2 linked regions of the Drosophila melanogaster genome follow. The protein of the gene in region 2 interacts with the protein of the main gene of each other region in a pairwise test. Each region holds a gene or a part of one and is shown on either strand. Other genes may lie near its edges.

Evidence for each region. The genes of interacting proteins can lie anywhere in the genome.
Region 1: the proteins of BicC (region 2) and CG11200 interact in a two-hybrid assay, tested with the Drosophila melanogaster proteins (one large-scale study listed by BioGRID).

Annotation. Positions count from the first base shown.
Region 1 is NT_033778.4:20,304,017-20,310,597, forward strand, and holds CG11200 (uncharacterized protein), read right to left. Parts: upstream 4,656-6,581; 5' UTR 4,545-4,655; intron 4,484-4,544; 5' UTR 4,131-4,483; intron 2,621-4,130; 5' UTR 2,580-2,620; coding exon 2,399-2,579; intron 2,336-2,398; coding exon 2,228-2,335; intron 1,452-2,227; coding exon 1,070-1,451; intron 1,013-1,069; coding exon 616-1,012; 3' UTR 501-615; downstream 1-500. Other genes in the region: CG13868 (uncharacterized protein), read right to left, coding at 5,557-5,730, 5,797-6,167, 6,234-6,581.
Region 2 is NT_033779.5:16,038,624-16,049,330, forward strand, and holds BicC (bicaudal C), read left to right. Parts: upstream 1-3,423; 5' UTR 3,424-3,904; intron 3,905-4,293; exon of another isoform or gene 4,294-4,451; 5' UTR 4,452-4,463; coding exon of another isoform or gene 4,464-4,598; 5' UTR 4,599-4,622; intron 4,623-5,200; 5' UTR 5,201-5,431; coding exon 5,432-5,738; intron 5,739-5,799; coding exon 5,800-5,849; intron 5,850-5,928; exon of another isoform or gene 5,929-6,164; coding exon 6,165-6,234; intron 6,235-6,297; coding exon 6,298-6,377; intron 6,378-6,442; coding exon 6,443-6,769; intron 6,770-7,217; coding exon 7,218-7,343; intron 7,344-7,403; coding exon 7,404-7,785; intron 7,786-7,978; coding exon 7,979-9,106; intron 9,107-9,334; coding exon 9,335-9,582; 3' UTR 9,583-10,003; downstream 10,004-10,707. Other genes in the region: beat-Ic (beaten path Ic), read left to right, coding at 252-907; CG45084 (uncharacterized protein), read left to right, coding at 4,464-4,598. UniProt on the Drosophila melanogaster protein: RNA-binding protein that is involved in oogenesis. Required for correct targeting of the migrating anterior follicle cells and the establishment of anterior-posterior polarity in the oocyte. May act as translational repressor of oskar during oogenesis.

The sequences.
Region 1 (6,581 bases), on a different chromosome or scaffold from region 2:
ATGAGATTGTTTTTTTTTTTGCAGCCATCATGTCGTTCGCTTTTAAGCGTTCAGTTCGCTTAAGTGACAGTCGAGTTGTAGTTGCTTCGCAGTTGTTTTTCGAGATGATACACCTACCTACCTGAGTTCCTCCGTCTCCGTACCGCTCTCCTGGAACCCCCATACTCCTGTCCCCTTAACTGAAGTCGATTAAAATTCCTCCAAAATGTTGAATGTTAATCGCTCATTGTTTGAGGAGGCGCACAAAATTAAATTGTTTGCTTTTTCGAAAATTTGACATACAGCAGATATGACGTGGTTGTTGTTGTTGTTGTCACCTTTCAAGCTGCCGCCGCCAACTGCTGAGTGCATTTTCAAATAAATGTTTCTTGCAGCTCTTTTAATTGCATTCCCTAGCCCCACGATGGCAATCAAGCGCAGACAAGTTAATTAAAACCTAGCACAGCAATTTGACCAGATTAGCATCAGCAGATCCTGAACACAAAACACCAGCTGCAGTTCTATATAAAAATGTTTTTATACAAAAGAAATCGATTTACAAAAAAGCTGACGGTATCTAGAAAAGTACGTTGCACCAGTAGGAGGAATGTGAGATAGACTGAGTGTGGAGTTCATTTAGTATTCGCCATTTCCGTACTGCTGGATTTTCAACAGGTCGCAGGAGAACTGGAAAAGCTGCTCGCACTTTGCCGGCTTCTTGGCATCCGGATGGAAAGGACCCTTTCCGCCGTTGGAGAGGTAAGTACCACCCTGACCCTCGATGGAGGGATCAATGGCCGCGAAGACCACCGTGCGGGATCCCCTTTCCGGAGTCTTGAAGAATAGCTTCTTGAAAATGGGCACCGATGTGGTGGCCGAGTGCTCGAACAGATCCGTGTCCACAATGCCCGGATGCACCACATTGACCTGCACGTGCGACTTTTCTGCATCCAGCAGTGTCTGCAGATGGCGGGTGAACAAGATCTGAGCAAGCTTTGACTGACTGTAGGCGGTTCCCGGGTAATAGTGTTTTCTGCAAGCAGTAAAACCTAGTAAATAAGGAACTTAGGCGACAATTACTCAAACGTACGTTCCGTTAATGTCCTTATAGTTGATGCGTCCAATGAGATTCACGCAGGAGCTGACGTTCACGATCCTGGAGTTCCTTCCCTCCTTGCCTGCCGCCCTCAATTGAGGCAGAAGCAGGTGGGTGAGCAGAAAGTGTCCCAGGAAGTTGATGGCAAAGTGCGACTCGTAGCCATCGGCGGTTAGTTTGAAGGGCGCAAACATGATGCCAGCATTGTTCAGCAACAAATCCACTTTTGAATACCGCTCCTTGATGAGCTGAGCAAATGCCTTTACGGATTTCAGATCCCCAACATCCAGTTGCTCGCAGATGAGCTTGCCCTTGGTAGCATTCAAGTCGACTATCGATGCAACTGCGGTTTCGGCAATTTTGGGATCACGAACGCCTGCAATAAATGCATAAATTAAAGTGAGCCACTGACAAAAATTGCTGAGAGGACAGAACTTAATTAATAAATATCCTTTAAAACACTTTTTTATGAGTGTTTTCTAATCTACCCTATTTTACACAAAATATAAGCAATATAAGCGACACCTAGCGCCTGTATAGCGCACTTCAAGCTCTGGTTTTTACATCTATACATTTTACATAAGTTCAATGTAGAAAATAACAGTTGACTGTTAAATGATTAAAATGTTTATTATTTTAACTAGCACTAACAATAAAATTAAATATATTTAAAAAAAAAAATGATTTCTTAATAAATGAATTTTCTTAGAGACTAAAATATGCAGTGAAATTGTAAGTAAACGTATTAAAGCAAGAAATTGGAAAAGCAACAAAAAATGCCATTTTCAAAAATGTTAACGAGAAAATACAAAATAATTATTGATAACTGTGACCCTTTTCATTGAAATTTAGAATTCTTTTCTCCGACCAGTCAATGAACTCTTATCGCTTGTCTTTCCCGAAAATCGAGACTTTTACGCGACTTGGTTAGATAATGAAATCAGGAGAATGGGTCATGATTTCTGTATCGCATTGACAAGGGTGGGAATGGATCTGCATTTCGACGATCGTTTATTCGATGTTCGATTTTAGCTTGCCGAGCACGTGCACTTGCAGCACGGTTAAATGTTTGTGGAATTCATAAGCAGATCGCCGACTTATGGATAGGAATAGGCCTGAAACAAGTTGTTGGGCGGAGATTGGTCAACTCACCCATGACGACAGTCATGTCGCAGGCCAGCAGCTTCTCCACGATCCGCAGTCCGATGCCGCGATTGCCTCCGGTGATGACAGCAATGCGGTCCGGTTGTTTATAAAGTGCTTAATGGATAATGGCAACAATTAGTGATCGTGGAATAAGCATCGGCTAGCAAATTGACTTACCCACTCGATCCCGTGCCTTATACTGGGCATCGTGGACGAGCCCAACGATTCCCAGGTACTGATACCGAAACTCAGTCTTCCACTCGAACCAGGACTTCGGGAACTCCTTGGTGGTCTTCGAAAAGAGGAACGCACACAGCAGCAGGCCGACGAAGAAAATCCACAGCAAAGTTCCCAACATTATACGCTCTTATCGGATCGGATCGCCGTCTCTCCGGAACTCTGCAAAGGGAATACGGGTTTTGATAAGAAATCGGGCAAAGTGCGCCGGCTGATAACGAAAACCGATCCTGGTTCGTCACAGACATTAGCCATTAGCCGGCAACATTATCAATATTGGCGGGTAAATTCGCCTCGAGTGCACTTTGCGAAACTCTTCAACTGAGTCAGCAAGATTTCGCGATCCGAGTGCCAGCGGGTACATCTGTTGGCCATATTCGTTTGGAATTCTAGGTGTGTTGGCCATATATACTTGCCAGAGATTGATTCGTGTCACGATTCAGCTGCGAATAGTCGAGCTTCTACAATTATCATGCCTTTATACTATCAAGTTGGCGTAACAGTAGAGAGTAACTAATCACTTAAAAATGTGGTTTAATTATAAAGCTCGAACTTTTTGTAGAATGATCTTTGCTATCAATTAAAAAGGCTTTTACAAAAGTGCTGTTTTAACGCACTAATCCTAATTCGACAGAGTAACAAGAATGATGTTTGAAATCTCAGAATTTTCACCAGGAAACCCCATTTTTGGGGATAGAAGTCTAATAATTAATAAACTTTTTAATGATATTTATCAGAGAGCGTGTTCTGAAATCGACTTGACCCCATTGGCCGTCGAATAGCTTGAGTTGTTGCCTCTTTCCCTCAGTTTTTTCTTATTTGCCCAGCAATTTCCAGCGTTGGTTAGCCGGGCTTATAAAGCTAACGCGATTGTTTGGCCACCGATATTTGCAGTGCATATTTGCCACCTGCACTTTGAGCGCTGCACTGGAATCTTAATTTTTAATCGGGCGGGGAAACAATTAAATTAATTAGACAGAAGATAGTTGAGCGCGTTTATTGGGAGACAGCGAGAGAACTGGCTTAGGTGTGCTCGTAAAATGCTAATTAAAAACCCAAACAGCGGCGGAATGAAAGTTGAAGAGCCGAGCTTCGAGCCAAAGCCAATAAACGGGGCCAAAATAGTGAATTTGGGGCCAGAGCTGAAAATGACTGAGGCGCTAAACAGCAACAACTAGGGTCGGTTTCTTTGGGCTCTTCTTGCGGGGGCAGCGGGGAAATATCTGTACGGACGACCTAGCATAGTACACTGCGAAAAACTCTTTAGTATTGGTGTAAAATATAAAAATATTTACAAATTGTACTGCGCAGAATGGTTTTCCATTTTAAGAAAGTTAAGGAAATAGAATTATTTTTCTTGAGTGAAGGTTGTTTGAAATTCTCTTAATTGCTTTATCTTTTATAATAGATTGCACTTAAAAGATAAGAACTTCACTACAAATTAGAAATAGGTTTTGTATGAATTTTTCATTTTTCACATAAAGTAATTCCATTTTTTCTGTGTGTACGCATGACACCACGAACGTGCTGTCAAGAGTTTCGACTTCCGTCAACAAAACGCAAAAGCTTAGCAGTTTTACTGTTGTTGCCGCGGTCGTTTTTAATTTGGCTGCATATGGTTAACTTTCTTTTTCTATTGTTGTTGCCCTTGCAGAGGGCTTTTCAATTTTACCTTCAATTTGGCTGACGCAGACGAAAATGCACCTGTGCCTCGATTTCTATGCTAATATTGACACCCTTTTTTTCAATTAAAGGCTGCGGCGGCGCTTCCTCGTCTTTTTGTTTTCTTTCACGTTTTCGAAGAGGATCAATCGCTGGTGTTTGAAAACCGGTTTTTCCAGCGGGCCCTTATTTTCGCCACAACCGCTCGGCGAGAAATTCAAAAGCGAACTGAACGTTAGGTTTTAATTGCGCGCCTTTCCGCCAAGAACTTGATCCACGATTGTTGTTGTTTTGTTTTGGCTTATTGCCGCTGGTCAACAGGTGAATTTTACCCACTTGCCGGCTGATCACGCAGAAAAACAGCTGATATTGTACAATTACGTGGTTATGCAATGGTTAAGCGGGTCGGTCGGCGTGTTGTTACCTTAGTGTGCACTCACAAAAACGCTGATTTGAAACAACTTAATTGAAATAACTGCAGACAAGCGAAAATCCAAGGTGGATATACATCGATGGCACCAGGGCTGCACTTTCTCTGTTTCAAAATATCGATTGTTGATGTAATCATCGATATCTGCCGTCAGTATGCATTTTTCTTTATTTTGTCCTTATTCATTTGTAAATCATAAGAAACCTGAGGTTTTTAAACAAATGTTTTTATTACAGAGAAACAGAGTTTGCGTGTGCAAAAAATACCTAAATGTTGAGCTAAGCTTATTAACAGTAACATGTCTATTCTATGTTAAGCTACTGTTACCAAACTAATCGATATCACTGCCATAAAAATATCGAAATTCAAATTTAAGGCAATAATACACCTTTAATCTTTTCATGTTAGTTAAAGTTCAAGTAAAATTATGTTTTAAGTCTCCCAACAAAATACCTTCTTTCTTTTGCTAGCTGATTTATTTATTGAACCGAAATAGTACAGTGCATTTAAGTGTTTAAACGGAAATATGTTCGTACAACAATTACAATTTATGTTTTGCCTTGATACCAGTTATAACTAATTTTGCCATTATATAGTTGCGCATAAGTATATATATAGTTTGAAATTAGAAGAACCTAAGCGAAACATTGAAGTCTAAACTTTGCGCATTTCTTTTAAATATTTTGAATAAAATTTCGTTTCGCTTTCGATTAAATAATTCAGTTGGGATTACCATATAGAGCGTGTTGTCGTGTTTATAGGTGAATAAATATTTTGAAATATATACTAGACTAAATTGAATATATACTTGAATCGTGTGTGCTGGTGTAAGAGGTGCCTATATGCTACTAAAAAGAATATTACTGTGGAAAGGACAAAGTATTCAAAGTATTCAAATAGGTTCGGAACTCTAAGTTGCAGCTGCGTTGTCAATGTCTTTTATCGCCTGTTCCTCCATCTTCGTTTCCGTTTCCGTAGCAGCGACATCCTTAGGCTCCTTTAACTGTCAATTCTCCACGGACATGTTGCCGATGTCATCGTTTATGGCCAGCACCTGGCTGATGAAGCTCTGGTCGGTGACCACCTCGGCCAGGGATTTGCACAGTTCGGTCAATTCCGGCAGCGGTATCTTCAATTGCGGCGCCAGCCTGCTAAGATGTTGACCCACATAGTCCGGCAGCTGATGGGTGATAATAACTGGGTTAGTAATGGGTAACCATTGGCTATAGCTATCAGTGATCCTTACCTTTCCCTTGCCCACTTTAAACGCGCTGAACATCAGCTTCGTCCGCACTCGCTGCTCATTGGGTCCGTCGTAGAAGATGGTGAGGTAGGCCTCCTGCCCATTGGCCACCAGCGGGAAGTAGATGCCCGCATAGACCTGACCCTTGGCATCGCGGGAGAGTAGCGATCGGAAGTTGTACACCAGATTGCGGCGCACGGTCACGTCGATGGCCGTGATGTACTCTTGGGCCACGTAGATCAGCGATGTCTTGTAGCTGGTATCCTCGCCACGGATCTCGCGCTCCTTCCACTCCACGAATTTCCCATTCTGCTGACTGTAGGCATAGCAATAATCACGCTGCAGATGCGGCTCCTTGGATTGGGTGAACCAGCCTAGAAACATATTGCATCCATCAGTATATATGTATTACAATAGGCTAAGCGGAGATTACAACTCACCAGTGTGCGGATAGCTCTGATCCTGCATAACAGTCACCGCTCGGCTGACATGGTAACCTGGGTCCAGGATCATCACACCCCGTCGATCGCCGATGGCGATGCGCATGGCGACCATGACGTGCTCCTTCTCCACACCCGCGTCCACCGAATTAAGGCCGCACTCCTCGTCCAACTGAACGTAGTCGTTGCAGTCCATCACCTGCTCCTCGCAGGACACAACGTACAAGTAGTTGGCCAGCACCGGGAACATCTGCACCATCCTGGCCATGATTTCGAACGCCAGCGAGACGCACATGTGATGGCGTCTGTTGATGGGCACATCGTAGAACTGAAAGAAGCTACGCAGAT
Region 2 (10,707 bases):
ATTCTTACAATTTTTACTAAGCCTTATACGTAAAAGGTATAAAGGGGGTCAATAGGTAAATGTACGATTATTGGCTTATAAATTATTAAAGAAGCCTGACAGACATTGACTTTTCCAAAAATCGAACAGGACATTGCGTTGTTTAGTTTTCACAAAGGCATCAAAGGGGGAAAATTTGAAGCCCCTTTAATGGCAATGTCCCTTCTTTTTACCTCCACCCAATGCTCACCTGTGCATCTCTCTATTTCCAGCGGATAACACGGCATCGGGCGCCTCGACAGCTGCACACGAAATCTTCTGGCAGTTCTGGCCATCGCAGCTCACAAAGCTCCCCATCAACAGGCAGTTGGCGGGGGCGTGGCACTGGCTATGTGGGGGCGGTGGAGCGGCTGCTCTTCTCCTTTTTTTCCTGCTGCAGCAAGGGCCGCTGGGCCATCAAATTATCAACTGTCAATACACTAAGCCGGCGACTGGCAAGGTGCAACAGCAACAACGCAACAGCGGCAGCAGCAGCAACATCGAGGTGACAGCTTCAAAAGCGGCAACATCTAGCGCATCTAGCGTCAAATGCTTTTATAATTGTCAAATGGCTATGGCGATGCCAACTCGAAGTCGTGATGATGATGATGACGGTGGTGATGCGTATATTGGCAGCACGAGTGCAAATGCAACGGCAACAGCGACAGCAACTGCCGATGCTGATGCTGCAGATGTTGCTGCTGCAGGAGGAGTTGCGAGTTGCAGCATTAAGCGGCTGTCAGCGACACTTGTGGGGGGCGTCAATGCTGTAAGGGGCGTGGCCAGTGGGCCGGATCAACGATTATTGATGACTCGGCGGCGAGAAAGGCGGCAAAAGAAATCGCAGGCGATGGATGCGATGATGCAGTCGCGTTGGAGCGCGTGCTGATGCCGAATTGATGATGAAATCCATTTTCGAAAGTAGCTTAAGGTGCTCGCCACCGTGCAAAATAGCCAGTATATGGCTCTTTTCCTTTCGCACCCGAATTGTTGAAGGGCATAATTAATATACATTCGTACTCATACTGATTGCATCAGCCAGCTGCATAAATCGATCTGGTCGTAGCTCTTAAGTGTTGAACGCATAAGGTCAGGGAAAGTGCAGTATATATTTAATTATTGGCAGAGCAAAGTCAGCAAGTAGATATTAAACCGATGAATAATAACAGGAAATGAATTAATCTTAGGTAAAATACAACATACGGTGAAACCATTAAATAAAAAGATACCCTGTACGCCGCTATCTCTCAAATCTGTTTTCGGCCTACTCACATTTTCGCAACAGAATTAAACGGAAATATATTGTGCTGTAAAACAGATCACCAATCAATCACATTACTTCCATTAACTATGTGAAACTGTTCTGTTCACTGTTAAAATTAAATATCTATTTGTCATATTTATTATTTTGTAAAAATAGTAACACATTTTATTTTCAGCTAGACACACTTTTCAGACAATAATATCAACTCAATAAGCATATATGAATGCTACAGCAAGGTATTTTCACTTTTTATTCCCGATACTTTCGAACAGATCTTTACTGTAAAAAATAAAAGATCACAATAAGCCACGACAAATGGCTCTCAGTGAAGAGAACATTAAGAGATGCGGAAAGTCAAACCAAAAATGCACAGTTGCCTGGGCACTGGGCACGTACAGGGTGAGAAAATGCGTGTGCTCAGTCACTGAAAATCAAAATGTACTTAGAATAAATACTATGTACTTCAAACTCTTATGTTATATATCAAGCGTTAAATATATTCAAATAAAAAATCAAAAAGTTATAGGAATTGTGCACAGTGTACAGCAAGCTGAACTTTAGACTGCACTTGAGCTTAGCTTTCGGGTACCGTAGTGCATTTTAAAGTGGGGTTTTGACAGCTTCAAAATTGTAAACAACCGAATATAATTTAAGTCAATACTAATACCCGTTACTTTTAGAGTAAAAGAGTGTTCTAGATTAGTGGAATCGTTTGTAACATTATAAGGTATTCATCTGAGTAACGGGTATCTTATAGTCGAGAGAATCGACTATAACTTTATTTTGTTTGTTTTCTCCTTTCAGAATGAAGAAGACATTATGTCAATGTGTAAATAAAAGCTTAAAACCAAGCACAAAATTAATATTTTGTAACATCCACTGTACAGAAAGGAACTTTTTACGGTTGTGGAAATGAAAAGCAAAATTAATTATTATAGCAAGCGTTTATTTGTAGAAAACAACGAATACATAGAGCAAATTAAAACGAAAAAGAATCTTTATTTTCAAGTCTTGTTTCGGCAATATTAAAACTCGATGAAAGCAAAAGAATTATTTGAACATTTTTGGCCAACAAAAATCCAGCGGTAAATAGTTCCTTTACCTTAAACACAATTCAATGTATGCAATGGGTAATCGTAGCCCAAAAACAAATGAAAATGTATATTAAAAAAAAATAACAATAATAAAAAATAAATGTTGAATAATTTATAAATTCAGTACATATATTTAAAGTGTAAATAAAATGATAAAACGTAATAATAAAACTTATGAAATATAAATTAATTGGTGTACATGCAAAAACAAGTAATACAAATAGATAATTATATAATAATAAACTGCATGCCGCCAGATTTTTGTAATCAAATCGTGTTGTGAAAGTTGTCTTCCCTAATTTATGCCCATTACATTAAAACATTGACAGGGGATTTTAATTTTAATTTCAGTATGGTTTCAATTATGGCCAATATATATAATAAACTATAACCATATGTATAAGAATGTAAAAAGCTAGTTTTATGTACATAAAAATGGGACAAACATTTTGATGTTACTGAATAAATATTAAAAGTATTAACCAAGAAATATGAAAGTAGGATAAAAAAACAGTGAATGTTTCCAGCTGCTAGGAAAAACGATAAGTCTTAGATCTATAAAGAGAATCAAAAACGCGGTCAAATGCATAGCACATAATATATTCATATCCCCAATAAATAACCCGAAATGTGTAAAGCCAGAATAAATGTAATAATAAGATTGAAGAAAACAAAATAGTGATGTAAAATAGCAGCAAGGAAATAAAGTAACCCCTATTCAATAACTATTGCTGACGTCTTTTACTCGTACATGTCATCATTTAATTACGTAATTTAAGTTTGGTTTATTTAAAGTTTGATTTCCGGTTGTACAAGGGTGAGCGTACTTTTAAAACCCACTGTATATAAATACTTTGGTAAAGTGCAGGTTGGGGAGTTTCAGAAGCTTGAAAAGCTCCGTTTCCCGTTATAAAGCTATTGCTGAATATCCGTTATCCAGTTGGCTGGCAGCTTTTTAAGGTTGTTCGTGCACTGGCTTCACTCCCCACAGAACACAGAGCTTTTGGATCTGAAGGTCAGTTGGGACTGGGACCCACATGCCGAGCTTAGTTTGATAGTCAGCGCGCTTTAATGACGACAACTGCACGGCGCGCACAACCCATTAATAATATATTAATTCAAAAGAGCTATAAAATATTAAAAAATATTCAAATATAACTAACTAACGCGCAGTGCACGATTTTCTGACAACAATTCAGTTTCGCTTTTCATGAGACTCCATTGCATTTTCCTTTGTGTTTTTCACACACGTGGTGTTTTTCTGTTACTCGCACTTCGATAGTGGTTATTTTTTTTGGTTACATTGAAAAAATACACCGACTGCCAGCCGAATTCCCATTCGAACCTTAATTTGACCAATTGACGGAAAATTAATTGCGCCCAAAATTAATTAGCAAGCGGATATACAATTTTTTTACGTGAAAAGAGCGTGTTATTTGTCGAAAAGATTTTACAATTGATTGTGTTTAAGTAAATTAACCTGCGATATCTATGTGTATGTGCTACGATCCGAATTTCTGACATTACGGTAAGTGGCGTGTTTTTGGCGGGAATAAAGTCGGTTTCTCTTTGTGCCGTATTTCTCTACCGTTTTTTCTGGCGCCAAAATGAATGAAAACGGTTGGCAACATTTCAAACTTAACATTGCAACATTCTAACCGCTGTTAAGCGTTTGCTCTGCAAATTGTTGTAGCTATGTTGGAGTTCTGGAACACCACCTCTCCCTGCGACTTTGTTTTGTTTTTCGCTCTCGACATATGGAATCGAATCTCTTATTCCGGGAGCGGTTCATTGACCCAGCAACAACAATATTCGCCAGATTTTCTCCTGCCAGCGATTTGCGGAATTCATCCGCTCAACAGTTAGAAGTAAATGCCGTCGAGCAGCGGGCAAAATCGATCGACGAAATCGAGAGCCGCGTTCAGTTGCCTTCAAGCCGTACTTAGAAGAAGTGCTGGTCCCCCAGAAATCAGAGAGATTTTTCCCAACTTGCATTTTTCCAATACTCTGACAAAGCCCCTCAGACCGTCGCAATCACACAGCTATATACTGATATATAGATCTCTATTGCGCAGATCACACCTTAAATGCCTTTCGTCGAGAGATTTCAACAAATACGTAATTTTGTTATGAACGTCTGCCTCGTCGAGGCCATCCAATTCGTCCAGGACCTCTCGCACGCCATCTGTCTGGACCTCCAGGGCCTATTTAATCTCAAGTAGAGATCACCGAGCGATCTCCCAGCGGTAAGTTACGCCATTGGTTTTTGGGCACAAGGAAGTGAAAGTGAAGACACGGGTGAAATTACGGTTTTCGGGATCTCGAGAGAAAGGGGAAAGTACGAACCTCATGGCAGCAGCACTCCATTTTGAGAGGTTATGTGAAAGAACACACAAGAAAGTTTGGAATTTTCGACAGGCGGCGAACCAATAATAATGTTGTTATCCATAATAATATTAATTAGTGAATTTTTATTTCACCTTTTCGCGGCATTATTCTCACAAATTTATAAGACAGATTTTCAAATTAAGACAGAAAGTTTTTTAATGTTAGTGAAAAGTACTTATTCCAGTTGATAGTTAAATACTATTTACCGCAAAAAATTAAAAGAGAACTAAATTTAAAGGTAAAATCGTTTTTTTTTTTGGAAAGTGCATTGCTTAAATTATGGTACCGACTATCAAAATAAAAATAATTAATTTTTATATGGTGTTTCAATATTCACTTTAAATTACCTATGACTCGCTTTCTAACCACTCTCTTCTTATTACGAACATCAATTTTCTTGTTACATCATTTCGGACCTTTCATTTTTCATCACCAGCTCATCCCATCAATTCAGATACACTTTACTTCATTAAGTAGCAGCAATCATCTAACAAAGCTGACCAAACAACGGACCGGCTTCCAGAATCCTTAACTGAGACGGACGTTTTGCTTGGTTTTTAAAACTAAACGACTTTTTGGTACCCACACCTGTTGACCTCTGACGAATTTCTCGATCCACTGACCGATCCACTGATCCAGTGATCATCATCATCATCCGAATTCCACAATGTTGTCCTGTGCCTCTTTCAATAAACTGATGTATCCGTCGGCCGCAGATGTTGCCAAACCGCCAATGGTGGGCTTGGAGGTGGAAGCTGGATCCATTGGATCCCTGTCCAGTCTTCACGCCCTTCCATCGACCACCTCGGTGGGCAGTGGAGCCCCCAGCGAGACGCAGAGCGAGATCTCCTCCGTGGATAGCGATTGGAGTGACATACGCGCCATCGCCATGAAGTTGGGCGTTCAAAACCCAGACGATCTCCACACGGAACGTTTCAAGGTGGATCGACAGAAATTGGAACAGTTAATAAAAGGTAATGCCTTTATATATAAAAATAATAGATTCCTTATTATACATTGCCTTTTTTCTGATAGCGGAGAGCTCCATTGAGGGAATGAATGGAGCTGAATATTTTTTCCATGACGTGAGTACATATTTTTAAGTTTTGGGCACCTATTAGCTTCACACTTTCTTTTGTCTCATTTTGAGACACAGAATGCCATGCCTTATAAATATTGAACATATAATAATATGTTTCCTATTCAATAGTATATTAAGTTATTTAGTTTTTGAGCAAAATTTTTAAGTTAATTGATTCATGTCTTTGTTTGGCAATCTGACTTTGCATCTATAAAATTTCAGTGTATAACCCAATTTGTTTTAAGATACTGTTAGGACCGACTCTTTTGACTTGATATAAAAGAATTCGCCATATATCCAAAACATATTCTTTTACTAGATCATGAACACTACGGATACTTATGTGAGCTGGCCTTGCAGACTCAAAATTGGTGCCAAGAGCAAGAAGGGTAGGATATTGAAATATTTTCAATGTTCAAGAGTATTTTTCAAATAAATCCCATAATTTAAAGATCCCCATGTGCGAATTGTGGGAAAGGTGGATCAGGTTCAGCGGGCAAAGGAGCGCATCCTTAGCAGTCTTGACTCCAGGGTGAGTGAGCCAAAGCATAATACAAACTTATCTGTTTTAATTGTTACCCATTTTTCTCCGAACAGGGCACTCGAGTGATCATGAAAATGGACGTCAGCTACACGGATCACTCGTACATCATCGGACGAGGTGGCAACAACATCAAGCGCATAATGGACGACACGCATACCCATATCCACTTCCCCGACTCGAATCGCTCCAATCCCACGGAGAAATCCAACCAGGTGTCGCTGTGCGGCAGCCTAGAGGGCGTGGAGCGAGCCCGGGCTCTCGTTCGGCTCTCCACACCGCTGCTCATCTCCTTCGAGATGCCCGTAATGGGACCCAACAAGCCGCAGCCCGACCACGAGACTCCCTACATCAAGATGATCGAGACCAAGTTCAATGTTCAGGTGAGTTCCAGATGTCGGAGTCAACTAAGTGTAAGATTATAAATTAATTATAAATTAATCATGGCATGTTACCAAATATTATTTGCATTTGACTATAATGGCTTGATTAGTTTAACTAATTTAGGTAAGATTTTGTAATATACATTCATACATACATTTAAGAGGGGGTATAGAAAATGTCAAATTTTTTTTTCCCAACCCTTGAGAGTTGTGATTATATATTGCTCCATTATAATTTTATCAACTGATGTTACATTAGGCTAATTTTGCAGTTGTGTTATTATTATATATTTTTAAGTGATTTAGAACGCATTTAAAGTAATAAAGTTACTTAAACGTTATTTTCGAATTTGGCAACCTTAAATTACAACCAAGGATTTTTGTAAACAGTTTTTTCGTTGCTCTTAATTATTATTGAATATATTTTAAAGATTTTTCCTCCTTTCAGGTCATATTCTCCACGCGTCCAAAATTGCATACCTCGCTGGTTTTGGTCAAGGGATCCGAGAAGGAATCGGCGCAGGTCCGAGATGCCACGCAGCTGCTGATCAACTTCGCCTGTGAGAGTATTGCGGTAGGTTCGAGAAGGATAACTCAAAATAAGGCTCATCAGCGAATCCTTTTTCCTTTTTAGAGCCAAATCCTGGTGAATGTCCAGATGGAGATCTCGCCGCAGCATCACGAAATCGTCAAGGGCAAGAACAACGTGAATCTGCTGAGCATTATGGAGCGAACCCAGACCAAGATCATATTCCCCGATCTGAGCGACATGAACGTGAAGCCCCTGAAGAAGTCCCAGGTCACGATCAGCGGACGCATCGACGACGTCTACTTGGCGCGACAACAATTGCTTGGCAATTTGCCCGTAGCATTGATTTTTGACTTTCCGGACAACCACAACGATGCATCCGAAATAATGAGCCTCAACACCAAGTACGGCGTCTACATCACGTTGCGCCAGAAACAGCGGCAGAGCACCCTGGCCATTGTGGTCAAGGGAGTGGAGAAGTTTATAGGTAAGATCTCTAAAGCAATGTGTAAAGTGTATGATTTTCGTTGATTCTGCATTAATATACGATTGCACTTTCCATTATTGTTTGATTTTTATCCCATATTTTCCTTACTTTTTAGATATATTATACAATTTAAGATATTTAGCAAGTGCTGAATTAAATTTCCGTATTAATCCGTTGTTGTCACCCTCCTTAGACAAAATCTACGAGGCCCGCCAGGAGATCCTGCGCCTGGCCACGCCATTCGTGAAGCCCGAGATCCCCGACTACTACTTCATGCCAAAGGACAAAGACCTTAATCTCGCCTACCGCACCCAGTTAACTGCTCTGCTGGCTGGGTATGTGGACAGCCCGAAGACTCCATCGCTGCTGCCGCCCTCCTTGGCTGGCCAACTGACGCCCTATGCCAACAACAATCACCTGTTGTTGAACGCCAATGGCTTGGCCACGCCCACTGGGGTGTGTGCGCCCACCCAAAAATATATGCAGTTGCACAACAGCTTCCAACAGGCTCAGAATCGTTCCATGGTGGCTGGTGGGCAGAGCAACAATGGCAACTATCTGCAGGTTCCTGGAGCGGTGGCGCCGCCTCTCAAACCGCCGACTGTTTCGCCACGGAACAGCTGCAGTCAGAATACCAGTGGTTACCAGAGCTTTAGCAGCAGCACCACCTCCCTGGAGCAGTCGTATCCGCCGTATGCCCAATTGCCGGGCACCGTGTCGTCCACTTCATCCTCCACCGCGGGAAGCCAAAATCGGGCGCATTATTCGCCAGATTCCACTTACGGCAGTGAGGGTGGTGGCGTTGGCGGCGGAGGTGGTGGTGGGGCGCGTCTGGGACGACGCCTTAGCGATGGAGTGCTGCTGGGGCTGAGTAATTCCAACGGTGGAGGAGGTAACTCCGGAGGAGCCCACCTCCTGCCCGGCAGTGCCGAGAGCTATCGGAGTTTGCACTATGACCTTGGAGGAAACAAGCACTCCGGCCACCGTGCCTTTGACTTCGACATGAAACGGGCCCTGGGCTACAAAGCCATGGAGCGCACCCCGGTGGCAGGGGAGCTGCGAACACCCACGACCGCTTGGATGGGAATGGGCTTGAGCAGCACCTCGCCCGCCCCTGCCCCGCTGGAGAACGGGGAAAATGGGGCTGCTGGTGGAGGAGCATCTAGTGGGTGGCGGCTGCCACCAGGACTGGGTTCCCCTTACGGACTGAGTGCCACCACCGGACTCCTGGACGCCACTCCAGTCAACCGACGGATGCAGCTAGCCAAGCACAAGGACATCCAGACTCTGCTCACCAGTTTGGGTCTGGAGCACTACATCAGTGAGTAGCTCCGCCGATCATGTCCGTTTTTACCAACTGTGTACTAGAAGTCTTTTATAAAGCTATCATATATGTCTGGCTTGAACTGGAGAGTGTTTTATTTAACGCAAACGTTTTTTCACAGTCATAGATAAAGTTACATAAAGTTCAACATCCATATAGCATTTAAAATCAAACTATTTTATATTTACAACCTGGGAAAACTACAGTTTTTATTTCTCCTTTCAGAAATATTCGTTCTAAACGAAATCGACCTGGAGGTGTTCACCACCCTGACCGAGGAAAACCTGATGGAGCTGGGTATCGCGGCGTTTGGAGCTCGCAAGAAGCTGCTGACGGCCATTCACACGCTGCTGGCCAACGAGGCGGCCTGCAGCACAATGCCCAGCAGCAGCTCCTCGCAGAACTCCTCGTCGCCGCGATTCTCCGGAAGTGCGGCCCCAGGCGCAGAGCGCCGTCCCTCCAACCAGTGGTGATCCGCTCCTGTCGTTCGACCCCATTGCCTCGAATTCTTTTTTTCTTTTTTTTTTTGCATGCCCATTTATTTGGTAGTCGTAAGATCAAGAGAATCGGAACGGTAAAAAGTATAGGAAGAAGTCAGGAAGAAAATGGCAACTCCCTGGGCGAATAGCTTTCCCGCACAACACAGCCTTGACCTTGACTTATACTCGCATTTGTACTCAAATTCCAAGTAGCATAGCTGCGCTCGGGAAAGTGCACAGTTTTCCCAGTGTGCCAATAGGTCGTAGTTGCCTTTATTTTAAGCGATTAATTTATTTTGAAATTATTTATATAGGAAACCGTCTTAAGCAAAAAAAAAAAATATTGTGAATTATTTATGAAATCTAACTAAACGAAATCACTTGTTGTAAGAAATGAATTTATGTAAACTAACTGAAAAAGAAAAAAAAATTAAAAACAAAAGCACAGCATGTATTAAGTGATAAGCAAAATAGTCACGCACAAACATTTGATATGAATAAATTGATGTCTATGAAAAATCAACTAAATATATTTTTTAGTAGATTATTAGATTAATATGATTTGCTTAATTTTGTAGAAACATTTGTAATATATGTACATTAAGTCGTTGCCGCTTTGAACTCTTTTAGCCTGGTTGGAATAGAGGTTAATGACTTTATTGTCTCCAGTTGTCTGCATAATTTGTATTGCCTCGCCTCGTGCCAAGAAGTCTTGCAAAGCAACAAAATCGAATGTGTGTCCTTACACGAACTAAACGGGCGGCAAAAGGGGCGTGGCTGAGCTAATGAACTGGAAATGTTTTGCTCCAGTTGCCGGTGGTTGCTACCGTGTTGCATCAGCATAATTGCAAATTTTTATGATTATGACACTTTGGGCGCAAAGTGCCTTTGCCAATGGCAACTAATTTCTGCAGCCATCTCAGTCCCAGTCTGGTGGTCATCTACATGGGGCTATGCTCCACTTAAGTACTTCGAGTGGGCTTTTGCGGGACATTTTGGCAAGCGGCTTGATTTACAATTATGCTGGATTTGAATTTGGATCCCAAGTGGAGTCACTGACCAGCCCGAGAGTCGCCAGTTTCGGCCTCCATTCGTCAATGCTGGTCCCATTTTAAGTAG